7 linked regions of the Sus scrofa genome follow. The protein of the gene in region 3 interacts with the protein of the main gene of each other region in a pairwise test. Links are inferred from orthologs where the notes say so. Each region holds a gene or a part of one and is shown on either strand. Other genes may lie near its edges.

What was found.
Region 1: the proteins of TK1 (region 3) and RBM48 interact in a two-hybrid assay, tested with the Homo sapiens proteins (2 studies listed by BioGRID and IntAct). The link is inferred for Sus scrofa from reciprocal best matches to the Homo sapiens genes TK1 and RBM48.
Region 2: the proteins of TK1 (region 3) and LRIF1 interact in a two-hybrid assay, tested with the Homo sapiens proteins (2 studies listed by BioGRID and IntAct). The link is inferred for Sus scrofa from reciprocal best matches to the Homo sapiens genes TK1 and LRIF1.
Region 4: the proteins of TK1 (region 3) and SETDB1 interact in a two-hybrid assay, tested with the Homo sapiens proteins (2 studies listed by BioGRID and IntAct). The link is inferred for Sus scrofa from reciprocal best matches to the Homo sapiens genes TK1 and SETDB1.
Region 5: the proteins of TK1 (region 3) and tubulin beta-2A chain interact in a two-hybrid assay, tested with the Homo sapiens proteins (2 studies listed by BioGRID and IntAct). The link is inferred for Sus scrofa from reciprocal best matches to the Homo sapiens genes TK1 and TUBB2A.
Region 6: the proteins of TK1 (region 3) and APLP1 interact in a two-hybrid assay, tested with the Homo sapiens proteins (2 studies listed by BioGRID and IntAct). The link is inferred for Sus scrofa from reciprocal best matches to the Homo sapiens genes TK1 and APLP1.
Region 7: the proteins of TK1 (region 3) and GAPDH interact in a two-hybrid assay, tested with the Homo sapiens proteins (2 studies listed by BioGRID and IntAct). The link is inferred for Sus scrofa from reciprocal best matches to the Homo sapiens genes TK1 and GAPDH.

What each region holds. Positions count from the first base shown.
Region 1 is NC_010451.4:72,443,423-72,447,610, forward strand, and holds the start of RBM48 (RNA-binding protein 48), read left to right. Parts: upstream 1-1,388; coding exon 1,389-1,532; intron 1,533-2,069; coding exon 2,070-2,260; intron 2,261-4,188. Other genes in the region: PEX1 (peroxisome biogenesis factor 1), read right to left, coding at 946-1,194. UniProt on the Homo sapiens protein: As a component of the minor spliceosome, involved in the splicing of U12-type introns in pre-mRNAs.
Region 2 is NC_010446.5:109,270,253-109,274,365, forward strand, and holds the start of LRIF1 (ligand-dependent nuclear receptor-interacting factor 1), read left to right. Parts: upstream 1-1,313; 5' UTR 1,314-1,909; coding exon 1,910-1,977; intron 1,978-4,113. UniProt on the Homo sapiens protein: Together with SMCHD1, involved in chromosome X inactivation in females by promoting the compaction of heterochromatin.
Region 3 is NC_010454.4:3,792,161-3,795,324, forward strand, and holds the end of TK1 (thymidine kinase, cytosolic), read left to right. Parts: intron 1-1,425; coding exon 1,426-1,515; intron 1,516-1,722; coding exon 1,723-1,842; intron 1,843-1,934; coding exon 1,935-2,111; 3' UTR 2,112-2,664; downstream 2,665-3,164. UniProt on the Homo sapiens protein: Cell-cycle-regulated enzyme of importance in nucleotide metabolism. Catalyzes the first enzymatic step in the salvage pathway converting thymidine into thymidine monophosphate.
Region 4 is NC_010446.5:98,276,239-98,279,738, reverse strand, and holds part of SETDB1 (histone-lysine N-methyltransferase SETDB1), read left to right. Parts: intron 1-97; coding exon 98-197; intron 198-804; coding exon 805-930; intron 931-1,096; coding exon 1,097-1,298; intron 1,299-1,857; coding exon 1,858-1,931; intron 1,932-2,959; coding exon 2,960-3,150; intron 3,151-3,500. UniProt on the Homo sapiens protein: Histone methyltransferase that specifically trimethylates 'Lys-9' of histone H3. H3 'Lys-9' trimethylation represents a specific tag for epigenetic transcriptional repression by recruiting HP1 (CBX1, CBX3 and/or CBX5) proteins to methylated histones.
Region 5 is NC_010449.5:1,911,869-1,915,824, reverse strand, and holds the start of tubulin beta-2A chain, read left to right. Parts: upstream 1-1,156; 5' UTR 1,157-1,265; coding exon 1,266-1,322; intron 1,323-2,789; coding exon 2,790-2,898; intron 2,899-3,203; coding exon 3,204-3,314; intron 3,315-3,956. UniProt on the Homo sapiens protein: Tubulin is the major constituent of microtubules, a cylinder consisting of laterally associated linear protofilaments composed of alpha- and beta-tubulin heterodimers.
Region 6 is NC_010448.4:45,292,225-45,295,724, forward strand, and holds the end of APLP1 (amyloid-like protein 1), read left to right. Parts: intron 1-571; coding exon 572-671; intron 672-1,385; coding exon 1,386-1,493; intron 1,494-1,751; coding exon 1,752-1,778; intron 1,779-1,960; coding exon 1,961-2,031; intron 2,032-2,266; coding exon 2,267-2,329; intron 2,330-2,460; coding exon 2,461-2,604; intron 2,605-2,702; coding exon 2,703-2,801; 3' UTR 2,802-3,125; downstream 3,126-3,500. UniProt on the Homo sapiens protein: May play a role in postsynaptic function. The C-terminal gamma-secretase processed fragment, ALID1, activates transcription activation through APBB1 (Fe65) binding. Couples to JIP signal transduction through C-terminal binding.
Region 7 is NC_010447.5:64,131,221-64,135,463, reverse strand, and holds the start of GAPDH (glyceraldehyde-3-phosphate dehydrogenase), read left to right. Parts: upstream 1-1,443; 5' UTR 1,444-1,525; intron 1,526-1,798; 5' UTR 1,799-1,816; coding exon 1,817-1,839; exon of another isoform or gene 1,840-1,932; coding exon of another isoform or gene 1,933-1,985; exon of another isoform or gene 1,986-3,613; coding exon 3,614-3,713; intron 3,714-3,792; coding exon 3,793-3,899; intron 3,900-4,020; coding exon 4,021-4,111; exon of another isoform or gene 4,112-4,237; coding exon 4,238-4,243. UniProt on the Homo sapiens protein: Has both glyceraldehyde-3-phosphate dehydrogenase and nitrosylase activities, thereby playing a role in glycolysis and nuclear functions, respectively.

The sequences.
Region 1 (4,188 bases), on a different chromosome or scaffold from region 3:
TAGAAAAGGAGTTACAGAGAAGTAGCTAAAATGGAAAAGGGAGATATTTGAAATTATTGCAAACTGTTGAAATTACTGCAAACCAGTGGGTACTATGCATTCAGGATTTTCGAAGATTTCAAACAGCCTATCCTTTTAGCCCCTTAAGCAAGCACGCTCAAACTCGTAAACCAGGTGTCTCCACTTTACAATTAGGAAAATACAGATGTTGCATCTCTGTAACCATGCAAGTGTTAGAGCTATGAACCGCCACAACCACAAGGTGCAGAGCGCAAGTGAAAACAGAGGTTCAAGGAATTCTAACTACCTATGACCAAGTATGCATACTCCCACAGCACATTCCTGGAGCACCCCGGAGGTGTTTGGAGACACAGGAAGAAGGTTCATATTAATCTATCCCGCTCGTGGGACACAGGGCTCCACCTCTGTTAACCAATAGAGACTTCACAAACCAAGTCCGCCCCTCTTTCTGAAGGCCGGGACCACAGCCATGCAAGCACCTGGAAATCGCTGGCAGGAAAAACGTTTTCTAATAATGAAACAAAACAGAACAGAATCCCAAAAGACAAACAAACCCGACTTCTCAAGAGCTTTTCCAACCTGGAGTGAGGAATAGTTGAACGAAGAGGGAGAATATCGGGGCGTTTCAAAGCCCAGTTCCGGCGAGTAAAAGACCTGGAATACAGCAGGTCAACTCAAAGAAGCCGTGCTGCACTAGACGTGATGTGGCTGTCAAGAGCGCCCAGGCCAGCCCTGCCCGCAAGGGGTCCTCAGTGTGGCCTCTGAACCGGTCGGCGGGGCTGGGAAAGCAGCCCTAATCCCGCCGCCGGGAGAGGCCTGAGCGGCCGCTGCGTCCCTAAAAGGCCTGGGTCTCGGCCGACCGCAGACTGGCCAGCAGCTGTCCCAAGTCGGTGGTGAGAGCCCGGCACCAAGCGGGCGCCTTACCTGCAGCAGGTGTAGCTGGGCCACAAGGCGCCGCGGCAAGTGGAGGAAGCAGTCGCGAGCGTTGGTGAAGGCCACCGTCACGGCCGCCCCGCCTCCGCCAGCACCCGCCAGGCGATCGCCGCCCCACATTGTCTGCAGGCACCGACCCCCAGCCGCCCAACCTATCTTTCCCGGGCCAACCCCGCAGGTCGCGGGCGTCGGACCCGGAGACGATCGATCGGCCCCGCCCCCTAAGGCCCCGCGGCGCATCCGGAGCGGGAGGGGCCAGCACGCCTGCGCCTGTTCTCAGGGCCTTTCCGCCGCGCCGCTGGGGGGCGACACGTTCTTCACCAAATCCTCGCTCACAGGAAACGATGGCCGACGGTGTCGATTCTTCAGCCAATCTCGGAACGCCTTAACTCACCCCTCTCTCTTATTGGGTAAACGGTGGGGCAACGGGGCGGATGTTGTCGTTCGCGAGGGATAACACCGGCAAGATGGCGTTGAGCGGCGGGCAGCTAGGAGGCTTATTCGATCACCACGTCCAAAGGGCTGTATGCGACTCGCGGGCCAAGTATCGAGAGGGGCGCCGCCCTCGCGCTGTCAGGGTAAAGTGACTTTGGTTTCAATCGCTATCCCCGGTAGCTTTCTGTGAGTTCCAGCTTCACATGCCCAGCTTACGTAAATAACATCTTGAGAGGCTGCGGTCACATCGATTAACTGAAGAAGAATATGAAAAACGCTGGTACTCAAGTACCAAAGATGCTTGAGTGCTCTTTAGTCTACTGCTAGAACCTCAGCTCCGTGAGAAGAGGGCTGTGTTTCAGTCACTGTATCTTCCGTGTTTACAGTGGTCCTTGTTACATGGTAAACGCTCAGCGAATACTTGTTAACTCGTCCCTGTAACTTCTACCGAGCTAATTTGTGGAAAACACATTGATGGAAGATAATGTTACGTGCTTTAGCTAAAGGCCTTTGCAAGAAGGGTAAACTATTCATTATGTAGAGAGAGGGGCAAGTTTTTAGATTTCCTGTTTTTATGCAAACCAGTCGAAAGGTGTTTTTTTCAACTTTAAAAAAATATAGGATTAGATTTGTCCCAGGCTTCTTTGTGAAATACATTTAATGTGTCTGATTTCTTATAGGTTTACACGATCAATTTGGAATCTCGGTACTTATTAATACAAGGAGTTCCTGCAGTCGGAGCCATGAAGGAATTAGTTGAGCGATTTGCTTTGTATGGTGCAATTGAACAGTATAATGCTCTAGATGAATACCCAGCAGAAGACTTTACAGAAGTTTATCTTATTAAATTTCTCAATTTACAAAGTGCAAGGTAATATGCAAGTTAAACAGTGTCTCATTTTCTCCATTCCCGTTGCCTACATTTGGCCTCCCTCATTCATTTCTGAATTACCCAGTAACTAACATGACCCTGTATTCTTCTAGTCTTTTTAAATGTTAGCCCTACCAAACTCTTTCTATCACGTCATTCCCATGCTTAACAATTTTTTTGTGTGTGTAGTATGGTAGATTAAAAATTGGTTTGGGAGTAAATTTTCAAGTTTCACTGTTTACTAACATCATGACCATGGACAGGTTACTTGACCCCATTAAGACTGTTTTCTTATTCTTTAGACACCAGTATGGTAAAAGGACCTACTTACGGAGGTTGTGTGAGGATGACATGGATCCATGTATAGGGCTTAGCACAGTGCCTTCTATTCAGAAGGCAGTAAACATTAGGTATTGGATCTCTTATTTTATGGACCTGTGTAATTGAATCTCCTTCTATATAACATAAAATTTTCTCCAACAATTAAGTACGAAATGCCCTATCTCTTTTTTCCCTCATTTTAAAAAATGAAAGTGTTGATTTACAACCTTTCAGGTGTACAGCAAAGTGTTTCAGTTATACACACACACACACATATACCTATTTGTGTGTGTATACACACACACATTCCTTTTCAAATTATTTTCCTTTATAAGTTATTGCAGGATATTGAATAGAGTTCCCTGTGCTAACCAGTAGGTCCTTGTTGTTTATCTGTTTTACATATAGTAGTGTGTAGCTGTTAATCCCAAATCCCCAATTTAACCCTCTTCTTCCTTTCTACTTGGGGCCTTGGCTCTTTTTATGTTGACTCCTATTCTTATTGATAGGCTCCAAGACCCATCTTCTCTTGGCTGTTAGAATTCATATTTTCTTTTCTGTGCTACAGATAGCCCTTGTAGTCTTTCTGCCATAAATCACTTGGGTTAATGTCATCGTGTGTTGTTCTCAGGTTGCCGTTATATATAATCTCACTACCCTAACCAATTTGTCAGCTCCTCATGGTTAGGGATATTTTCTCATTGTGTATTTTAAGGAGTTTTGCATCTCTCACTCCACCTGGTACAGTAGGTCATGCAGTGTGACATCTGGATTTGAATCTTAGCTCCAAAAGCTAATGTGAGAATGGCCAAGTTATAAATCTCTCTAGGCTTCAGTTTCATCAGAGGGTTGTTGTGTTAATTCAAGAGAAGCACTTAAGCACTTTGGTCACTGCCTGGGATGTGGTAAAATCTCAGTAAGTATTTATCATTTTCCCTGGGCACTGAAGTGCTTATTTATTGTAGTAATTCCTGGCCAGTCACAGATGTTTAAAAATTATTTGTTGAATGAATACCATTCTCATTGATTGTTATATATTCAATATTTCCTCCATTATTGAATGTTACAATTTCAATATTTTATTAATTTCTTAAATATGAATCCCATTATAGGAACACATTGTGCCAAAAAGGCTAAAATAAGTATGAGCTAACGCTCAAGAGCCATTTAACATAGAGAAAAATCTCTATTTCATAACCACAGATTGTGTACCTCAGGCCAACCAGCTGGATCCAGTATTGGTTAAAGGGAGTCTGGATAGGTATGGATGACTTGAAACCTATTAAGACTAGGGAGAGGGAAAGAAAGGCTCTAAGAGTAGGCACTGGATCAGTAGAGTCATGCTGTCCACAAGCAGAAATTCTTATTCCCTAAGTATAAGATGTATATACACTTGGCAAAACCTGGACTTTGCTTTTTATTTATTTTTTTGCTTTTTAGGGCCACACTGCGGCACATAGAAGTTCCTAGGCTAGGGGTTGAATCGGAGCTACAGTTGCTGGCACAGCAAGGCGGGATCTGCGATATACACCACAGCTGTGTCTGCGATATACACCACAGCTCACAGTGCCAGATCTCCAACCCATTGAGCAAGGCCAGGGATCAAA
Region 2 (4,113 bases), on a different chromosome or scaffold from region 3:
TGCAAAGAAAAATCTCAGCAGATTCCTGGTGCAAAAACATAAGATTTTGTTGAGACTGTGTATCACAAGCTAACTTTTCCCTCTGCCCAATTTTGCTCCCTTTTCTTCCCTTCCACACTGATCCCTAATAAACTTCCTGTACATCAAATTATATCTCAAGATTCCGCTTCCAAGGGAAGCCAATAAGCGACAATGAAACTCATTTATAAGAAGTGCTGATGTATGTGAGGACAAGCCAAACTGCAAAGTAAGAAATGAATAGTGAGAAAATTGAACAAGCCAAGAATGGGCAACTCATTCAAGTAATTTTGCGTTCACAGACAGAAATATGACCAAAACCAAGACAGTGTAAGGAGAGTTCTCCCATGGTACAGCAGTTAAAGATCCTGCATTGTCACTGCAGCAGCTTTTGTTTTTGCTGTGGTGTTGGTTCAATCCCTGACCCAGGAACTTCCGCATGCCATGTGCGTGACAGAAAGGAAGAAAAAAAAAGAAAAAAAAAAAAGACAGTATTACGGGCTCACCACCCTGACTCCTAGTACTGAGATATCGGAATGAAAGATAAATGCCAGTTAGACATACAGGATTCGGTATCAGTAAAATTAACTTTTACTAAAGAGTAAACAATAAGTATTACTTTCTATATCAGGACAAGATCTTTCATCAGTATTAGCTCATTAAGGAGTTAGGAGAATGAGTAACCTTCATTTTTAAGGGACAAAAATAAACCTGGAACTTGGCTACTTTATGTCAGTTTCCCAAATTTTAACAGTATGAGTCAGTTTACATCCTTACTGCCTATAGCTGATAAAACTGGATCTTCTAAAGCACTCCTCCCACAACTTCCGTCTAGCCCCAGCTAAATTAGAATGTCTACCTCTTAAACCTGAGACTTAAACCACTTCTTGGATAGCTGATTTGACTTCTTAGAAAAACTTATGAGAAATTTTTATCCAGGGATCCAGATAAAGATGCAAAAAATAAGCCTATGTGGGCAATTAAATTTTTTGAGACTGAAAACCTACGATAATAATTTCGCGTGAGGTATAAGGATGGGGTGGAGGGCAAGGGGAGGATAAGTCTCGAGGCAAAGACTGAAGAAAGCGGATAAAATCGAGAAACCCTCAGGAAGTAGCAATAATACGGGCGCTGGCCATAGGCAGGCGTCTAAAATTCTCTTACGCAAAGAATGCGTATGTCTCCAAACGAGCCTTCTGTTAGCTTTTAAATCTGGTAGGAGAGGAAAACTTGCACCAACGGCGAATATAAAAGCAGAAAATTTACGACTGACCCCGGAAACATTTTATTTTGCGTAGATATCTGGAGAATTTTCTTTTGCGATTCGTTACTTGATCCGGAAGGAGACATAGCAAATGTCACCTGTGATTGGGTCATAGCATAAAGGCGGGGCCTTAGCGAGCCAGTCACCTTGGCAACAGGATGTGACGGTGCCGGAAACCGCCAGGCCAGCTTTGCTCCCGCTGGCGGCTTCGGTGGGCGGGGTCGGCCGAGACGGTCCGGCTGATCTTCATCAGAGGCTCGGCACCGACAGAGGCGGTGCCATTAAGGCCACGCCTCCCGCCTGATTCCGGATGCCTGCGGAGCGAAGTCCTAGGCTCTAACGGGGCGGAGACTCGGGCTTGTTCTCTTAGAGGCTAGTGCCGGTCCCACCCCGTAAGTCACTTCGGTTCTTCCGGTTTCTGGTGGCTGCGCCGCCTCCCTCCGAAGCCTGAGGATACGCCCTCTCGGGAGCCTGTTGTCGCCCTCCTTTCTGCTTCAAGCCCCCCTGAGTTGCTCAGGCGCAACTCCAGCCAAACATTCTGTCGCTCTGGTTCTCGGCCCTTGGAGACCTCGACCCCCATATACTGCCCCCTTTCCTGGACGTACTGGCCCCTCCCACCCCTCTAAAATGTCCAATAACCTACGGAGGGTCTTCCTGAAATCTGCAGAGGAAAAGTCAGGCAGCGCCTCGCATTGGTAAGTACCGGTTTCGAATCTCCGGCGACACACCCGCCCCTCGCCCGTCTCTTAGCAGGATGTGGAGTCGGCCGCCGTTTCCTGACGTTCTGCAGTTCAGATGCCTTTGATCCCGCCGGGTGAGCACTCTAGGGGGAGTGCGCGGCGCTTCGGCTTTTAGAGCCCTTAGAGCCGCTCCCTCTTGGAAACATAAACCCTCTAGAGAGTCTGTGACACAGACAGCCTCTGCCTTGGCTCCGCAGCCCTCCAGCGCCTGAAGTTTCATAGGCTGACTGAGTAGATCTCCACAGGAGAGGAAAATCAACATGGCCGGCGCTCCTGTGTGACCCACATCATCTGGAAGATTCTCGCGCACTCGCAGAAAAACACGCAGCCGTCAGCGCGGATTAGCAAGTGCAGCACGGGTTGCGCTGGACCTTCAGGGAAAATAGCTGTAATTAAAGAGAGTTAGTGAGAAGGGAAGGCTTTTATTTTTGTGTAATTGACAAAAGTATATGAATATAGAACCTGAAAAATTGTTCTGGAATAAGGGAATCGATTTTTTAAATTTTCGAATACTAGTTTTATTTGAAGATAAAGAGAAGTAAAAATAGAGAAATTATCATGTAAAATCAACCTTTTGGAACAGCAGTATTTGAAGCAGGTGTATTGAGAATGCCATCTCGAATCGGATGTATACGTAGAGGAACTACGTTTGAAGGGGAGAGTCCAGCATTTCTTAGAAGGACACTTATTTGTAAATTTAGACAATGGTTTATCACTAACTCAGTAGTTTTTTAAGCCTATATTAATCAAGATGAAATGAAGCTGGAACAAAATTGTTAGCTAAGGTAGAATATTTTGAGTTGTAATCTGCCTGGTTTGTGGGTATATAATAAATGGTGAGAGGAAAGCTAATGAGTCTCTGCAGAAGGAACATGTGAAGAAGAAACATGGAGAAGGAGATAAAAATCATGGAAGAGCATTTATGTTTGAAGAAAACCAGGCTTGCTAAGTTTAATCCTCGCTTTGCTGGTTAACTATTTGTGAGGCCAAGTGACTTGGTTTTCAGTTGGCCAATAAAACCACCTGAGGGTATTTTAAGGATAAAAGAATGAATATACTAAAATACTTAAAATGTAAGAGCATTATTTAAATGTTAGTTATGTATTATTATCATAAGATCACAACTTTTCTTTCTGTACAAATTTTAGCCCAGGAAGTAAGTAGATACAAGTAGATGCAAAACGTAATTGGGCCGTGAGCTGCCTTGTAGGTCACAGACACGGCCTGGATGTGGCATTGCTGTGGCTGTGGTGTAGGCTGGCAGCTCCAATTGGACCCCTAGCCTGGGAACTTCCATATACCACGGGTATGGCCCTATAAAGAAAAAAAAAAAGGGAGAAAAAAAAAAGGAAGCGAAAACAACAACAAGGAGTTTACATCGTGGCCCAGTGGTTAACAAATCCGACTAGGAACCATGAGGTTGCGGGTTAGATCCCTGGCCTTGCTCAGTGGATTAAGGATCCTGCGTTGCCATGAGCTGCGGTGTAGGTTGCAGACACCACTGGGATCCCACGTTGCTGTGGCTCTGGCGTAGGCTGGCGGCTACAGTTCCGATTAGACCCCTAGCCTGGGAACCTTCATATGCTGTGGGAGCAGCCCTAGAAAAGGCAAAAAGACAAAAAACAAAAAACAAAAAAAACAAAAAAAACCCACAACAACAAGAAACCCTAATTGTAATAAACACTTTTAAAAACTTGCATAATATTCTAAAAAGAAACAGTTGAGGAGTTCCCGTGTGGCGCAGCAGAAATGAATCTGACTAGGAACCATGAGGCTGCAGGTTCGAATCCCTGGCCTTGCTCAGTGGGTTAAAGATCCGGTGTTCCTGTGAGCTGTGGTGTAGGTTGCAGATGCTGCTCGGATCTGATGTTGCTGTGGCTGTGGCATAGGCCCGTGGCTACAGCTCTGATTGGACCCCTAGCCTGGGAACCTCCATATGTCACAGGTGGGGCCCTAAAAAGCCAAAAAAAGAAAAGAAACAGTCACCAAAAGTGGTGAGATAAAGCCATTATTGAAGAACTGCCAAGAAGGAAGCATTGTATTTCAGATTGTAACAAGAGCCAGATTTTGTACATGTATGTTTTTTGTTGG
Region 3 (3,164 bases):
GCAAAGACCCTCTCCAAATAAGGTCGCACTCGGGTGCTGGGGATTAGGGTTTCAACATGGATTTGAGGTGTGAGAGGGACACAACTCAACCCAAAATGTAACCTAAAAATGAATGGCAATAAAATCCAACGCCAGCAACATGGTTACCCGTGGGCATCTTGAGATTTTGCAGAAAACCCAGGCAGCTCTGTCCTTACCTTCGATCACCCAGGAACCCCTGCTGGGGGCCCAGGGTCGGTGTTGGGGAGGGGGGCGTGTGAACAGGGGACAAAGTCCGGGTGGAAGAGCTGAGTGCTCTGACCACAGGTGAAGCCAAGGACCCTCCGAGGTCCCCAGACCCTGGTGTGGAAGGACCTGCCTCTTGACGAGGCCTCAGCAGGGAGGGGGAGTGCAGGGGATTCGTTCCTCTCCCACCCCCGCCGCAGTGGGTATCTGGCAATGTCTGGAAACAGTTTTGTGACAGCTGGTCGGGGGGCACTTACTGACAGCTCCTTGTAGGTGGGGGCTGCATTTCTGTGACCCGAGTCCTTCAGAGAAAAAGAACCGCCTGGGGCAGGGTCAGCTGGAGCCTCTGGGTGGGGGCGGCCGTTCCAGAGCTCAGGCCCCTCCAGCCCTGCCAGGGGGCGGTCAGCTCTGGCTTCAGTGGATCCCGCTGCATAGAGGGGTTTCTAACGCCTCTCCTGGTCCTGTCTTGGTAACTTCTCGAACATCCGGCTGAGTGAGGCCTGGGTGGCTTGGAGAAAGACCCTCTAGGCAAGAATAATCCCCACTTCACCCAACCCACAGGTCCGTCTCGACAGATGATGACCAGTGAAAATCCACCAAAGGGTTTTAAGCAGCCTCACCCTGGGCCACTTGAAATGAAATTTGAGTCACCAACTAAGCGGCCTGCTGCAGACCCTGCATTTAGAAGGGTGTGCCGGGACCGTGGAACTGCCACCCCTTCTCAAGGCATCGCATGGCACATTGTTTTTTGTTGGGTTTTAAGTGGCAGGCACACAGCCTACCTCTCAGCCAAAGAGAATAAATTATTTGAGGGTCTTTAATCCTTAACCCCCCCCAAAGCCCTCCCTGTCTTTTCCAGGCTCGGGAATCTGAAGTCATTGCCCAGGTCACAGCTAACGGGTGACCATGGTTCAAGCCCAAGGCAGCCTCTGGTCCAAGCTGTTGACACTGCAGTGGCAGACCGCCTTTCTAGCCGGGCTGCGTCACCCTGGTGACAGGTCCGGGTTCTTGACCTGGAGGGGGGCCTGGGTCTGCTGGGGACATGCAGCTGTGCGCCGGGCAAGGGGCTGGGGCTGCCCAGGTCTCGCGCTCCCCGCCGACTGGGTGCCCGGAGCTGTCGGGTCCGGCAGCACCTTCTCTGTGGCTCCCGGAAGCTGCTGCCCAGGCGGGAGCTGTCCTCACCCCCTCTCCCGCCCCCAGTTCCCTGACATCGTGGAGTTCAGCGAGACCATGGCCAACGAAGGCAAGACCGTGATTGTGGCCGCCTTGGACGGGACCTTCCAGAGGAAGGTAAGGCGTCCGGGCCTGGGACCCGGGAGGCGGGGGGCCGGGGCCGTGCAGAGACGGGCTCCTGGGGCCGCGGACCGGGTCCGCCGGCTGCAGGCGCCGGGCTCTGGGGAAGGCCAGGGCAGGGCCTCGGTCCCTGGCTTCCGTGCTGGGAGGCAGCCTTTCCGGGAAAGGGCGAGCTGAGAGCGCCCGTCTCTGGTGGGACCGCAGGCTTTCGGGAGCATCTTGAACCTGGTGCCCCTGGCCGAGAGCGTGGTGAAGCTGACGGCCGTGTGCATGGAGTGCTTCCGGGAGGCCGCCTACACCAAGAGGCTGGGCGTGGAGAAAGAGGTAGCTGCCCTGCCTTCTCCCGGGGGCGCGGGCGGGCGGGGCGGGGGCCGCCGCGCCCCCCTCAGTCCAGGCACCTGGTGTCCCGTGTCCAGGTCGAGGTGATCGGAGGAGCGGACAAGTACCACTCCGTGTGCCGCCTCTGCTACTTCAAGAAGACAGGGCTGCCCATCGGGCTGGACAGCAAGGAGAACAGAGAGAACGGCCTGGCGCTGGGCGTCAGGAGGCTGTTCGGCCCCCATCAGCTCCTGCAGTGCAGCCAGGCCAACTGAGGCGCCGGCCCGCCGCTGAGCCCCGGAGGCCGCCTGCGCCCCAGGAGGAAGCGGGGGCGGTTGTCCAGCACCAGGAGCTGCCCGCCCTTCCGGCCGAGGCCGGCGGTCTGCTCGGCACACTTCCCTCCTGGGCCGCCCGCTGGCCTCTCTCAGTTCCCGTCCCCGCTGCTGGGCCGCTGCTCACAGGCCGCCCCAGGCCGGAGCTGGCAGCTCCGTGGCGAGGGGTCTGGCCCCGGCAGACGTCCCCTCCGCTCCCCCGGGGTGAGGCTGGAGCCACAGCCGCTGACAGGGGTGCTGCTGGCCTCTTCCCCCTTTGTGGCTTTGGCTGCCGAGTTTCTGTTCTTGCTGGGAAGCCCGAGCCCCCACCTCTGGCTGGCACCGAGCCTCTCGCGCACACAGACTGAGCCCCTCTGAGGACAGCCAGACTGGGGCACTCTCACTTCCCTGTGGCCTGCAAGCCCTTCCGGGGCTCAGCTCCCAGGGCTCCTCTTTTAGGGAAGGGCTGTGGCCTTCTGTCAAGTTCTCTGCCATGAATAACCACCTGGAAAAGTTACTGTGTGGTGAGAGCACATTCTCAAACCGCCTGGGGCTTCCCGGGCCTCGCCGCGGAGAGCGCTGACGTGATTCGGGTGCGGGGATTTCTCTCCAGTTCTTTTTCTAGTTCCGCTGTCTCTTCGCCGCAACCGGTTTTGGCTGAGAGACGGCCATGAGGCGTGTCCAGAGAAGCTTTCCTGGCTCTTCTGTCTGGTTGGGCATCCAGACAAGAAGGGTAGATGGAGCCCGGGGCCCAGGCTGGAAAGATGAGGCTTTGGTCCGTGCTGCCAGCTCGTGCTGCGAGGCCAGAGTTTGTGAACAGACACTTGACAGTCCAGGAGCCAAGAAGCCCAGCTCTGCTGTGCCTCGGAAAACCGGGCTGTGGGCGGCTTGTGTGGAGGCGAGGCTGCACCGCAGGGGGTGCCAGGCTCCCCATCCTCCCGGCTGCTCCCTCCCCCTTGGCTCTGCTTGGTCCCAGGTTCCAGAGGTGCAGTGCAAGGGTCAGACTGATTCCCAAAC
Region 4 (3,500 bases), on a different chromosome or scaffold from region 3:
CAAGCTGCTGCAGTCAGAAAAAGAAAAATTCTTATTCACAAACTGTTTTTAGCCCGTGCTATTTTAAAATTTATTTCCCTCATCCCCTTCATTACAGCTTCGTGAAGCTATGGCTGCCTTAAGAAAGTCGGCTCAAGATGTCCAGAAGTTCATGGATGCCGTCAACAAGAAGAGCAGTTCCCAGGATCTTCACAAAGGTTAGGGTCAAGAGGTTCCTAAGTATAGGGAGGGGTCATGAATTCCTACAGAGATTTCATGGGTGACTGGTTTTGTTTTGGCATTTCAGAATCCTTCACCTCTCTTGAGTTCTTTTAACACCACAGGTTTTCCTTGCTATCTACTTAAGTCTTTTGTCTGCTCGGTTTCCAAATACCGTTTTAGCTCCATGTTTATGATCTCTTCTTCCAGGTGCAGGTTAGAGAGAAGACAGTGACTCAAAACTCTTAAAAAGAGGTGTGGCAAAGCTTTGTAGAATGGTGCTGTTAAGAGATCTCTCTCAGGAAAATGTTTTATAAATGTTATTTGACATTTAATGAGGGGTAATGTTATTAATAAGGAGTTTGAATTATTTGGTTAAAATGAGATGTTCTTGAATTACATTCAGTTATTCAAGTTTTTCCTGTTAGTATAAACAGTCCAGTCGGCTGTGTCATATATTTTTGCCCTTGACCAAGACAGCAGTAAAAGTGGCTGTGGATCAAAGGTTACCCAATTTGCCACAGTAACCAAGTACCCTCTTTATTTTTCCATTCTCTCTCCAGTCTATGCTATATCTCTTTAGAACAACGTTGATTTTTTTCCTAGGAACCTTGAGTCAGATGACTGGAGAGTTGACCAAAGATGGTGACCTGACAGTCGGCATGCGCATACTGGGCAAGAAGAGAACTAAGACATGGCACAAAGGCACCCTTATTGCCATCCAGACAGTTGGTATGTTCAAGCTAGAGGAAGAACTAATGAAAGACAACCTGCAGGTCTCCATTGCTGATTGTTTCTTTCCCCAACAGTCTTGCCTTTTGTGTCTCACATAGCAACCCGAATTCACACGGAAACTTATGGTTTTTAAAAACTTTGTTTATCTTTCTCTTTTACTCAGGGCCAGGAAAGAAGTACAAGGTGAAATTTGACAACAAAGGAAAGAGTCTACTGTCAGGGAACCATATTGCCTATGACCACCACCCTCCTGTTGACAAGCTGTATGTGGGCAGTCGAGTAGTGGCCAAATACAAAGATGGGAATCAGGTCTGGCTCTATGCTGGCATTGTAGCTGAGACACCAAACGTCAAAAACAAGAACAGGTACCTGGACAGAGGAATGTAAAGAGAGGAGAAGCCAAGAGCACAGCACCTGCCCTGTTCAAGCCATAGTCCAGATCTCACAATTAGCTTTTGCCTTCTTAGTCCCCAGTGGCCAGAAAACCTTTCTCTTTCTTTGCCACAGGAGTCATGTTGGGTGGTGATTCTTTCTCACCACTTCCCCCCCTTTTTTTCCCTTTTCTCAAGAAGAAAACTCAGTAGGTGGAGAATAATCAAGATTGATTAATGGTTAGGGGAATAGAGAATTCATATAGAAGGAAAAAAATGGAGACTAAATGTTTTTCAGCAGTGTAGAAATCTGTTAGTATAACAAGACCAAATAGCTTTTGAGAAAGTGGGGATATGTTGGTAAGCTTAAGGGAGAATTCTTAACTCGGGATGGGAGGAAAGAATGCTAGAAGAAAGTATTTCACTGGAACATCTTCCCTGGAGTGTGTCCTGTTTATAATCCAGAGGAGTAGAAGCTATGATCAGATAATTTCTTTAGGTCGTGTTAAAAATCATAACCTCTGATCTTTCTACCATCACTCTTTCCGTTCAGGTTTCTCATTTTCTTTGATGATGGCTACGCTTCCTATGTTACCGAGTCTGAACTGTATCCCATTTGCCGGCCACGTGAGTGTCCCTCCTTTCTTCCTTATTAGTTCTTTCCATTTCCTTCTCTACCTTGTATTTCTTCTTAAGACAATTAACTAAAAAGCCCAGGGTTCTCATGTGCCGCAGTGGGATAAGGATCTGGCGTTGTTACTGCAGTGGCTTGGGTCGCTGCTGTGGCAGGTTCCATCCTTGGCCCAGGAACTGCCACATGCTCTAATGTTTTGGGTGCTTTAGTCTCAAAGAGCCTAAGTTTGATTAACATCCTTTGAGAAATACAGTTTTATTTGCTCACCTCTAGTGCTGGGTCTTTGCAGCCAAAGAGTGAGACTTTAGAAAATCATGACTGACCTTGAGTGGATGTTCATATTGTAGAAGTGTTTTGATTTCATTTCTAAGTGATTTAGGTTTGAGAAAATGTTACTTCTCTAGTCTCATGCTTAATCTAACATTTATATAAACCTGTAGTCTGCATGGTGCTTTCTAGAGAAGCTGTGTTAGATGGGGTGTCCTCTATACTTATGACTCTAGCTTGGGAGAGACTCTTGCTGAAGCAACTGTTTTTAATTGTAGAAGAGTCAGCTAACATGTCTATGTTTCCACATAACATGCATAAATACATTCAGGGTCTGAAAAACCTGATAGAGCTTGAGAAGAAAGGGCAGTTTTTGTTTTTCGTTGTTTTTTTTTTTTTTAATTCATGGTGCTGCCTGATTCTTTTTTGATTTACCTTTAGGCTTATCAAGTTAGCAAGAATTTCCATTTGACTTTTCCTAAGAAGAAACATCCATTTTTGTGAAAACAAGTGACCCACCTATGTTTGCATATTGCTTATTTGGTATTTACTTAATTTGCATGTGCTTTTACACAATAAGTGTATTACATTTCAGGTGGTCTTGGTTTTGCTTCCCTTGAGATTATGATTTCTTCATTTATTTTTTCTCTCCCTCTCAACTTGAAAAATACCAAATATCTCCTTGCCAACTATTTTTTCCTATCAAGACATGCCCTACCTGCCCTCTCTCAGCCTTGCTTCTTCCTTGGGACAGTGAAAAAGACTTGGGAGGACATAGAAGACATCTCCTGCCGAGACTTCATAGAGGAGTATATCACTGCTTACCCCAACCGCCCCATGGTGCTGCTCAAGAGTGGCCAGCTCATCAAGACTGAGTGGGAAGGCACATGGTGGAAGTCCCGAGTCGAGGAGGTGGACGGCAGCCTAGTCAGGATCCTCTTCCTGGTACTCTTCTTCTGAAGAGTTTTGGAGGCAGGGGTCTGGGTGGGATGGAGGAGCACAAGGCAACAATAATAAGGACGTGAGGACGCAGGTTTGATCTCTGGCCTCCCTCTGTGGGTTAAGGACCCAGCATTGCCGTGAGCTGTGGTGTAGGTTGCAGAGGTCGCTTGGATCTGGCGTTGTTGTGGCTGTGGCGTAGGCCAGCAGCTACAGCTTCAATTCGACCCCTAGCCTGAGAACCTCCATGAGCTGTAGGTGTGGCCCTGAAAAGACAAAAAAATAGTAATAGGATGATTTTGTAGCTGTGCCATATTTTTCCCTCTTTCTTATCCTCTTACCTTTTCTCACTGTTT
Region 5 (3,956 bases), on a different chromosome or scaffold from region 3:
GCTTAATATTTATAATACAGCATCACCTTAGATTTTATGGGGGTATTGCTGCTCCTTAAACTTGACCCGCTTTCATATAGAGCTGCTCATTTCCGACTCACAAAGCTGGCTGCGGGGCACCTGTAATTACCACCACTTTATAGCTGGAGAAACTGGCCCCAGAGAGGAAAGGAGCAGTCCCAGGGCCCTGCACACCTGGCCCCCTGCTCAGGATGGGCGGGGACAGTAACTAAGGCTGGGTCTTGCCTCACCCTGACCAAGCCTTTCCAACTCACCGGGGCTTTCTCTTTGTAGAAGGAAGCGAGACATGGTCACTTACTAGCTCTGCAGCTGGTCATCTCTTTAGCCTCTTTTCCCAAAGCCGTGAGGCTGGGATGGTCATCACGTTTCCGGAGGACGGAAGTGCGAGAGTTAAAATTCTCCAGTAGCCACTGTAAATACTGCAGCATGTAAAATGCTATGCACTACTTTACGTGCTTTCAACTTCTTCGGCCTACGAAGTCCCACGCGGATTTTACATGAAGGACATTTCAACTCGGATTCCCACGTTTCAGGAGATCAATGGCCACGTGTGCCGGATGGCCTGGAGCTGGACTTCGAGCTCTAAAGGGAGCCCTGGGGATTAGGTGACAGAACGTGCGGAGGGCGCACGCGCTTCGGCGGCCGCCTGGCTGGCACATCGTCTCTCCGCCACGCACGTTCGCGGAATTTTCCACGTGTCGCGGCCTTCACAAGGACCCCACACCCAAAGCTGACATGAGACAGACCCAGCGCCCACTCGTCCTAGCCCCTGCCAAACCCAGCACCTTCCTTAGGGGGGCAGAGGCGAAAGGGCCCCACCCTACCCTCCTCGCCTGGCCCCCTTCTCTGCGCCCTGCGCCCGCCCCGGGCGTTACACCCAGACCAGAAAGAGCCCGAGGTCCAGGACTCAGGACCCTGCCGGGAGGCAAGGAACCGAGGAGCGCCGCAGACTCCAGAGAAAATTCTGGGCTGCGGCTCCGAGGGGCGCGCGCCGCCGCCCCGAGGCCCAGCGCGGCCCACCCCGGCCCGCACCTCGCGCCGCGCCCCGGCTCCCCCTCGCGGTGCCGCAGTCCCCGCCGCCCCGCCGCCCCCGCGCCCCGCCCGCTGACGTCACCGCGCGGGGGGCGGGGCCCCTGCTATAAAAGGCGCGGCCGAGGGGCGGCCGCAGGTCTCTGCGTCGGAGTTTGCCGGTCTGCCCCACGCAATTCAGGGCCCGCGCTTCCACCAGCTCCGCAGCCGGCATCATGCGCGAGATCGTGCACATCCAGGCGGGCCAGTGCGGCAACCAGATCGGCGCCAAGGTGGGCGCCGGGGACGGGTCCCGAGAGTGTACGCTGCGGGGGGGCGCTGTGAGCAGGGGACAGCGAAACCCGGTGTGCAGGGCCGGGATGGGGCGCGGGTCCACAGGCTGAGGACCACGGGAGGGTCAGGAGGGGGTGGCGGGTCCCCAGGGTGCGCGTCGGGGCCCGGGAGGGGCCGGCGGTTCCCGAGGGTGCGCGCAGGGGAGGGGGCGACGTGTCCCAAGGGCGAGGGCTCAGAGGAGCCCGGGTTCCCAGGGTGAGGACCGAGGAGGGGTCAGGAGAGGGTGGCGGACCCCCAGGGAGCACCCTGGGGCCCGAGAGGGGCTGGGGAGCGGGCGGCAGCCCGGATGGCGCGTTCTCGGCGCGCGCGCTCGCCGGGCGGGGCCCAGGAACCACACAACCTGCCCCGATGCGCTTGGCCACGCAGCTGTGTGTGCCTTTAATCAAGGCCCTTTGAAATTTCCTCTGACCCGGCCCTTCTGCGGGACGGGGTTGCTATTTCCCTGGTAGAATGCCCTCTGAGCGTTGGCTAGGGGCTGCTGTCACATTAATCCAGGGACCGTGTGGAATTTAATTCGTGTATCTTGTCTATAGCTTGAATGAAAAAAATGCAGTGTCATTGGGTGACAGATGTTGTGGAGAACTCTCCTGGGCCCCACAGGCGAGGTTAGATCTCTCTATGCCAGCACCATCTAGACGGGATGACATATAACGTCTGAGTCTGATTCCGTCTGCGAGGCGGCAGGTGGCCGTCCGGAGCTGTGGCTGGCGCCCGCCGTGGGCGAGGCCCGGCGGCTTGGTGCATGGGGGTGGGCGGGCGCCTGCCCAAGGACGTGGGCTCTCTCAGGGCCGCCATATTGCCCACCCCGGGCTCCCGCCCCTTCCCTGCTGCAAATTCATGATGCAGCCTGCACCCTCACCTTCGCCAGCTCCGGCCACTGCCCCCAGGGGGGCCCCCAGCTCTGCCCGCCCCTCCCCGCCATCCTGCTGCTGCCGCTGCTGAGGGCAGTGCAGATGTCAGAGCTGAGCTGCGCTGCTGGGGGGCTGGGTCCCATCTGTGCCAGGAGACAGGGATGCCTGCAGGCAGCCACAGGGCGGGGTCCCAATGGTCCTGGGTCCTGCCAGGACCCGTCCATCCTCCACCAGGCTGACACGCAGCCCTGCCCGGGGGTGGCGGCCTCCCCAGCACCCACGATTCCCCTGGAAGGGCGTCTGCTGTGCCCACCCCCCCTCCTTCGGGCCCCTCCCGGCTCCTCAGTCTGTCGCCATATTATGGCTCATGCCCTGCGGATTCCCAAGCCCTGAGCAGCAGCCGCTGGAGGAACGGGGCGGGCAGCTGGCAGTCTGTCTAGGACACCTCGACTGTCAGCCCACACGCCCCTGCGGCAAGGACGTGAGGACGCAAAGGGCCCGCCTTACCGGCACCTAGGATGCCAGGCCATCACGTGGTTCCCCTTTTCTCCCCAGTTTTGGGAGGTCATCAGCGACGAGCATGGCATCGACCCCACTGGCAGTTACCATGGCGACAGCGACTTGCAGCTGGAGAGGATCAACGTGTACTACAATGAAGCCGCTGGTGACTGCTGGGACCCGGGGGCCCCTCCGCTTGCTTTCTGTTCTGGGGGGACGCCACGTCCGTCCTGCCCGCCTCCACCCTGAGCGCCCGCTGCTCGGGAGCACACGTCCTAAGGCCCCTGCATGCTTGTCACGACCGAGCAAAGCCATCAGCCCCCTCGTAGAGCAGAAACCTCCTCGCAGCTCCCCCGGTGCCTCGGGCTGGCACCTTCTGGGGTGAATTCTGCCGCCAAAGGCGCACAGGGCAGGGCGTCGTCCGGGCCTCCTCGGCCAACCGCAGGTCTAAGGCCAGCTCTGTCCCCACAGGTAACAAGTATGTGCCCCGGGCCATCCTGGTGGATCTGGAGCCGGGCACCATGGACTCGGTCAGGTCTGGACCCTTCGGCCAGATCTTCAGGCCCGACAACTTTGTGTTCGGTACGTAGCCACGACCCCTGGGCGCTGGCTCCGCGGGTCTCCTTCCTCCCCAGCCCCGTGGGGCTCACAGCTCTCCCGGCTCAAGGCCGAGGTGGACACCGTGTGTCCACAGGGAGCCCTCGGCCCTGACGTCACGGCCCCGGGCCCGGAGCTGCCCCTCGTCCAGCCCCTCTCAGTGCAGCCCAAAGGCCGGGTCACCTGCAGGGGCTGCCTCGGCCCCGCCCCCAGAGCAGCCTGGGAGGGGCTTGGAAGGAAGAGCCAAGGAGAGCTTCCCAGAGCAGGTGGCTGGTCCTTCGAGAGAAGCAGTGAGAAGCAAGTGCTTCTAGAGGCCCAGGCCCGAGGCCCAGGTGACGGGCAGGCGCCAAGACTGCGGCCGAGAGCCGGTTCTGCCTGCCTGGTCACTGTCGCTGAGTTAACTATTTACAGAAGGTTCTTAGTTTAACAAAACACAACTGTTTTAAAATTAACAATCTTAATAATCTCAAATGTACTAAACTCCCTTTTTGTTTTATTAGATCCTTAGTGTTTTTTGAGGATCATATATGGAAAATTTTTCTGTAGATAAAGAGAGGCTCTAAAAGCGAAGAATCTGTCATCTCTAAAACAGGTCCAGAGGTAAAATGAGAGAATTTGCCATTACCA
Region 6 (3,500 bases), on a different chromosome or scaffold from region 3:
CTAACCCCACGTGCTCTCCCTGAAAGCCTTGTTCTGTGCATTCAGATCCTAATTCGTTTCTGGGATGTTCTCTTGCTGCCCAAGGATACTCCGTTCAATGCTCGTGATGCCAAGTCCTGCCCTTGAACCTCCTCATTTCCAAGGGACCCTCCAATCCCACTTCCTCTTCCAGAACCCCTTCAAACTTCACTTTCTGTTCCTCAGACCCTCCTTCCTGCCCCTCCAGCCCACCTCCCTCCATTTCCTAACTTTTATACCATCTTCCTCGTACCCTCTACTCACCTTGTCTCCTGGGCCCCACCTTTCCTAACAACTGCAGCTTTTCCTCCTCCCCACCTTCTTTGCCAAGACTCCCACTTCCTGTCTTCTGTACATCTTTTCTTTGCATCCTGCTTCCCCTCCCGTTTCCTTCCTTCTGTGGCCCAATTCCTGGTCCTCATACCCTGTTTCCCATCCATTGTATCTGCTACTTTTCCTTGGACCCTATGAACCTTCCTCCTTCCCCCTGCCTCGGTTTCCCCATCTCCAGCCTACACGGCTCAGTTCATCCGTCATACTCGCTCCCCCACAGGTGCAGACCCACCTTCAAGTCATCGAGGAACGGATGAATCAGAGCCTGGGGCTGCTTGACCAGAACCCCCTCCTGGCCCAGGAGCTGCGGCCCCAGATCCGTGAGTACCCAAGTCCTGACCCCCAGCCTTTGGCTCACCCCCCCGGCCACTTCAGTTACCTCTCTCTCTGTGTAACAAACCCCAGAACTTAGTGCCTTAAATCACCCATTTTCTTTCCTCACGATTCTGCTGGCAGGTCCGGGTTCTGCTGGTCTTGTCACTAGTCAAGCATGTAGTTATGTCTGGCTAGCGGATCAGCTAGGGTCTGGGACTCTGGGACACATGAGCCTCTCTTCCTCTCCGTGGAGACTCAGGGCCTCTCTTCTCCATGGAGCCTTTCCATATGGTCTCTCTAGCGGGGCACCTGGACTTCCTATGTGTGGTTCAGGCTCCCCCAAGCACAAAAGTGGGAACTGCCAGGCCTTCTTAAGGCTTGTGCCCGCATTCTGTTGGCTAAAGCAAGTCATAAACCCAGTCTAGATTCAAGCAACAGGGCCTACACAAGAGCATAAATATCAGAAAGTGTGACCCACCACAGCCCCCAGGTCTATTGTGGCTTCCTCCTGGATGGAGGTCCCATGCTCAACCCTAATCCTCCTGCTCATTAAGGAGGCCATTCCCTTGAGCTTCCACCTCCATCTTTGTCCATTCAGCTCCCCGCTTCCCTAGATCCCATGGGTGGCTACCCCCCCCACCCTTCTGTTAGGGCGCCATCCATCCACCCAGTTCTGTTCCATGGCTCCCTATGCTCACCTTTCTGCGTGCTCCCCCCAGAGGAACTCCTCCGCTCTGAACACCTGGGTCCCAGTGAATTGGAAGCCCCCGCCCCGGGGGGCAGCAGTGAGGACAAGAGTGGGCTGCAGCCTCTGGACGCCAAGGATGGTGCGTTAACCCAGACTGAGACAATCCTGGACTTTGGGACACAGGCCCCTGGGCTCAATTCTCATCCCGTAAAGTCTGGAGGTGTCTTAGCCACCACAGTAAGAGAGAGAGGGTGGAAGGGAGCAGTGAGGTTGGGAGGACTCTGTGGGGTCCTTGGTCCTCCTTGCTTGGCCTCTGGGAGAGGGTCTCCCCTCAGCCTCCTCAGTGATGCTCCCCTCCCTTCACTGTTCCACCCCTCTTGCCTCCTCTGGCTGCCAGCAGACACCCCCGTGGCCCTTCCAAAAGGTGAGTGCCTCACAGAGCAGCCCCCTGCCATCAAACCCCTCTGAGTCCTTGAGCCTAGAATGGAAAAGGACCTGTACCCTGGGACCCCCAGGCCTGCTGAAGGGGGGGGGGTCCGGTGCCCCTTCTGACCCCCTCCTCAGGCGGGGGTGGCTGTGAGGAATGAGATAGGATTCGGGGGGCAGGGTCCACAGAACAAGATGCTGCATCCTCTGGAAAAGAGAAGCCGACCCCCCAGGAGCAGTACGATCGAAAGGTCAGTCAATCAGAACTGCACAGGCGCCTGAGGGAGGACCAGAGGGGGCCTGGGCTGAAGGAGGTGGGTGGGAGGGGTTGGGATTCTGTGGCCTGAGGGGAGAAGGGACTGAGGATATGGACTTTGGGGTCCTAGGGAAGAATAAGGCTGGAAGGGGGGGTGCCCTCTTGGGGCCCAGGGGAGGAGGAGTCGGGGGCCCTGACTCCTGGGTCCCTGACACCTCCTGCTCCCGCAGGTGAACATGTCGGTTCCAAGGGGTTTTCCTTTCCACTCATCGGAGATTCAGAGGGATGAGCTGGTAAGAGGAGGAATATTCTGGGTACCTAGGGGGAGGGTCGGAGGTCAGTGACTAGGTTGTGACTCCCAAAGCCACCACAGAGCCCTGGTGAGCCTCAAAGATGACCCTGGTCGCATCTCCTCTCCCTACAGGCCCCAGCCGGGACAGGCGTGTCCCGAGAGGCCGTGTCCGGTCTGCTGATCATGGGAGCAGGTGGGGGCTCCCTGATTGTCCTCTCCTTGCTGCTCTTGCGCAGGAAGAAGCCCTACGGGGCCATCAGCCACGGGGTGGTTGAGGTGAGAGGCACAAAGACCTGGACTGGGGAGGAGTTCCAGGGCCTGGGCGTGGCGGGGCTGTGAGATCTATGCCCCCTTGTCCCCTGCCCCTACTGCAGGTGGACCCCATGCTGACCCTGGAGGAGCAGCAGCTTCGTGAACTGCAGCGTCATGGCTACGAGAACCCCACCTACCGCTTCCTGGAGGAACGACCCTGAACCAGCCCCCTTCACCCCTTCGGCTGAGCCCAAACCTTCCCTCTTCCTGGAGCCCCAGAACCCCGACTCCCAGCCTGGAGGGAGGGGGTCTGGAAAAACTTCATTTCACACTTATTGTGAGGAGGCTGGAAATTCTTATTTCCCCTTTCCAATTCCAAATTCCATCCCTAAGAAACCCCCAGGTAGTCCCAGCCGCCTCCCCACTGGGGACCTCCTCAGCTTAATTTGTTTTGTATGTTAATTTATTGTCCCTTAAGCTTGGTCCTAGTGTTTGTTGTTCCCTGGAGTCCCCCACTAACATCCCAATAAAAGTCCTCTTCCCCACCAGGCCATCCTGCGTCTCTGTGTGTGAGCAGCTCTGCACGTTGGTGTGCGAATCTGCCCTTTTAAACTGTAGAGAGATCTTTAAATCTGGGCAGGCTCTTCAGAGGGGCGGGGTCTAGAAAGCCAGCCTCTTGGCCAGGAGCTTTCCGTGGTGCTGACTTCTTTTTTTTTTTTTTTTTTTTTGTCTTTTTAGGGCTGCTTACCGTGGCATATTGAGGTTCCCAGGCTGGGGGTCCAATCGGAGCTTCCGGCCTATGCCAGAGCCACAGCAACGCGGATCCGAGCCGCATTTGCAACCTACACCACAACTCAGGCAAGGCCAGATCCTTAACCCACTGAGAAAGGGCAGGGATCGAACCCACAACCTCATGGTTC
Region 7 (4,243 bases), on a different chromosome or scaffold from region 3:
GAGTCGGGGTGCGGGGCAGCGTGCTCTCTGCCTTTTAAGCAAAGGTTATCATCCTGCGGGCTAAACTTAGCCACAGGCTTTTCAGCTGGAAAAGGGGGCTGGTCTCAGGTTACGCTGGGCCAGCAAAGAGGCCCCAATTCCTTCCACCAGCACCTGCTAATGGGCAACGTCCATTCCACCCTCCCCCCACCTTCCCTGAACCTTCAACACTTCAAGTCCTCAGAACCAACCCATCTTTCATCCTCTGCTCACAAACCTGGCCCAGCCCCAGCTTCTGAGGGACTGGTCTTGGAGAAGAATGGATTTCCTCCTCCACATCACGTCTGGGAAGGGGCTAGGGGCCCTTGTCCCCACCCTGTGTCCAAGACCTCCCAATCTTTTCCCTCTTATGGACACCTCACCCTGCCCCCAACATCCCCTGGGCGCAGCCAGTGAAAGGGAGGCCCTGACTGCAGGGCTGGCCTGCACGTCCCAGGATGGGGAGGGACTTCCGCTCTCACGTCCTGCTCTGCCCAGGGCTGGATGGGGTGAAAGGGACATTGTCTCCCAGCCCGGGCCGCTCAGCCCTCAAATTTCCCAGGAGCAACTTTGTGGGAGACCTCTGAGCCTCTACCTGGCCAGCCCCCCAAAGCGATCCTGTCCCCTCGCTGAGGCCCCAGCCAGCCAGGGCCTGGGGGAGAGCAGCTGGTGCACACAGGTCCTGGTTTGTCTGCTCGATTCTCAGATGTCCAGGCTGCCTGTCCTGCAGGGCATCGTGACCTTCAGTGCAGAAACTTCCCTCTCAGGCCTCCTTCCGAGCCTCCTTCCTCTCCAGGCCTCCCACTGGCCAGGGCCAGCCGCGGTCCCCAGCCCGGGGAGGCCAGGAGCCAAGAGAAGGGGAGGGGGGAAAGGGGAAGGGGGCTGGAGAGGGCCTTGCTGGAGGCCCCTCCCGGGCCTTTTCCTCTGTAGTTCCTGGGTCACTACCGAAGAGCCTCGAGAAGTTCCTCAATCTTCCCGCTTCTCAGCTTTTGAAGGGGGGGGGGTAGGGGAGACTGCAGCCGCGAGCTGCGAGCCGCGCCCCCAACCCCGGGTTCCGCTCCAATTTCCCATCCCACTGGCTCCCCATATCCTCCCGTTACATCCCTGCAGCAACTTTAACGTCCCTGGCTCCTTGGGTGTCCTCAGTTTTCGCCAGGGCCCCCTCCTCCTAGTCCACTGCCCCCTGCAGTACAACCCCAACCGGGCCAGGCAGCATCACCGGTCCCCTCCCCCTCTCCGTCCTCAGCCCACTTGTGTGGCGCGTGCACATTGGCAGAACCAGGCGGGTCCAAAGGAAAAAAAAAGAAGAAGTGGGGGTCGGCTACTCGCGACTTTACGGGCGCACGTAGCTCAGGCCTCCGCTGCTGGAGCTAGGACTGGGCGAGGCGAGCCCACGTCACCCCGCCCCCGCCCCGCCCCCTGCCCTATAAATTCCGGCTGCAGCCTTCCCCTGCGCTCTCTGCTCCTCCCCGTTCGACAGACAGCCGTGTGTTCCGTGCATTGCCAGGTAAAGCCTGGCGGAGTGGAGCCACAAGGGTTCGAGGACTGGTCCGAAAGGGACCGGGGGCCGTGCGCGGTCTGGGAGTGTGGGTGCGGGGCCCCGGCTGGAGCCGGAGTTGTGGCTGCGCCGGGCCGGGCCCCTGCATTGCGGGTTGAGGGGGAGGAAGGACGTGCAGAAGAGCAGAGCGAGGATGGAGGCCTGGGGGAGGGGCGGGGAGGGCACCGTCGGGCTCCAGCCGCTTTGCCCCGCGATCTAATGTTCTCTTTCCTCTGCCGGCAGCCGCGTCCCTGAGACACGATGGTGAAGGTCGGAGTGAACGGGTGAGTTAGGGGGTGGGGCAGGGTGGGGCAGTAAGTACTGCAGCCCCCACCAAATTGCGTCCGCAGGTCTCGCCCTACCGGGTCTGTGCAAGCATGTGGGGGACTTGGATGGGGTGGTCGTACCCCACCCCCAAGGAGAACTCAAGGTCAGCGCTCGGACCTGGAGGAGGCCCTCGCAAGGCCTCGTGTCCCCCATCCCTGGCTGTTGCGCGTTCTGTAACTCCGCCTCTGCGGAGCCTTCCTCTTCACCTGCCGCAGATACACAGCCCTGGAGTCTCCAATTCTTGCTTTGGCCCCATCCCCTAATCCCCCAGCTGGGGCTCTTTCTTTCCTTTCGCGCCCTGCGGGGTCACGTGAAGGGGAGGAGCCCATCCCCCCAGCCGCAACCAGTGCCCCCAGCCGGGCAGCCCCGGGATGCAGGAGGCACAGCTGCTGTGCAGAACCAGCTGGGAGGGGGCATCTGCGGTAACCTAGCCGCCATGTTGCAACTAGGAAGGAAATGAATGAACCGCCGTTAGGAAATCTTCCTGAGTCCTTCAATCTTTCTCCTTACTTGCCCATGACTAAGCCTTCTACCCCTGCCTCGTGGGGTGGAGTCTCCTTTATCCGGTAACCCAGGTCCGGCCACGCTTTCCCCTTCTTAGTCAGCTGGACCTCAGCTCTTAGCAAACTAACCCTAGAGCATCCCTTCAAGCCCCAGCCAGATTCCCCCCCCCGGGGATGAGGGGATGCTTTTTCTGGATGGTTCTCTGATGAATCAAAAACGGGGCTTTATGGGGGTGGTCTTGGGTTGTTTCCGGGTTGTTTCCCTTCTCTTTCTCCGGAGAGGTGTGGTAGCGTTGGCTTGGTGCCATGCCGGGGGAGCTGAGTCATGGGTACTTAGAAATTTTCCACAAAATGGCTCCCGGAGCCGGCGGAGCCGCAGCCCCTGTCTCTGCATCAGTGCTCCTTGAAGCTGCTTCCTTCCATCCATGCCTAGGGTTGACCCCACCCTAAAGGCCAAGCTGTAAAGGTCACCAGGAGGATTAGATGTCCGTGAGCCTCGGGAATCCTGCCCTTCTCCCCATCCCCTCTTCCAGAAACCAGATCCCCACTCCACCCTAAGCTGGGGTTAAATATAGCTGCCTGACCTTTCTGCAGCTGGGGGCCTGGGCTTCTCCCTCTCCTTCCCCCCCGCTCCCCACACGTCTATTGCTCCCACTCCTGATTTTGGGAAAAGAGCTAACAAAGACAGGTTCCTAACAAATCAGAAGCCCGGGATTCTGGGTTTGAGAAACGGCTTTCCCTTTTGTAGGAGGGACTTGGGGAAGGGGGGGGGTTTCCCTGGCCAGTTAACTTCTGACCTTTGCTCTTGCCCTTTGAGCTGGGTGATGCCAAGTGTGCAAGATTTTGCTCCCTAGAGGGTGTGGCCTGAAGCTGGCCAGATAGGAACAAGCATTTACCGACAGTGGGCCTGAGGAATGCCATGTGCCGGCCATGTGCCCAGACTGTAGGTGGCAGCAGCAGTGCACCACCCTGTCACCCCTTAACAGATTTCAGATGACCAGGGGGTGTGGGCCTGTCTCGGAGCTTCATCACCTCTTGGGCAGGATGGGAGCTTTTCACTTTGTGGCTGTGCTGGGAAGCCAGGCTGGTCTGGCAGGGTTGTGCGAGGAGGAGGAAATGAGATCTCCTGGTAGGAAAGTGCCCGCGCTGACAGCGGGCGCGTGGGCCTGGGACTGCTTACATCTCCAGGAGAGCTCACTCCTCCCTCCTCGCCTCTTGTCCCCCTCAGATTTGGCCGCATCGGGCGCCTGGTCACCAGGGCTGCTTTTAACTCTGGCAAAGTGGACATTGTCGCCATCAATGACCCCTTCATTGACCTCCACTACATGGTGAGTGGCCCCCGTGGCGGGGGCGGGGACAGAGCCTGCCAGGGCGCAGCCCCTTGATGCCCTCCCTCGTCCCCCCCAGGTCTACATGTTCCAGTATGATTCCACCCACGGCAAGTTCCACGGCACAGTCAAGGCGGAGAACGGGAAGCTTGTCATCAATGGAAAGGCCATCACCATCTTCCAGGAGTAAGTATGGAAGACGGAACCGGAAGAGCTTTGCCTTGGAGGAGGTGGTGCTGGGACGGGGTGACCACCTTGGGTCTGTGGTCCCCCGCGCCCCTGAACTTTGTCCTGTCTTCCCTTCTAGGCGAGATCCCGCCAACATCAAATGGGGTGATGCTGGTGCTACGTATGTTGTGGAGTCCACTGGTGTCTTCACGACCATGGAGAAGGCCGGGGTGAGCGGCAGGGAACCGAAAGAGGAGGGGACCTAACCGCGGGGTTGGTGTAGCGGGGAGACTGGGGGAGGCTGACTTGGACCAGGAAAGGGGAAGCCCGGGTGTCTGACTGCTCCTCTGCTGCAGGCTCAC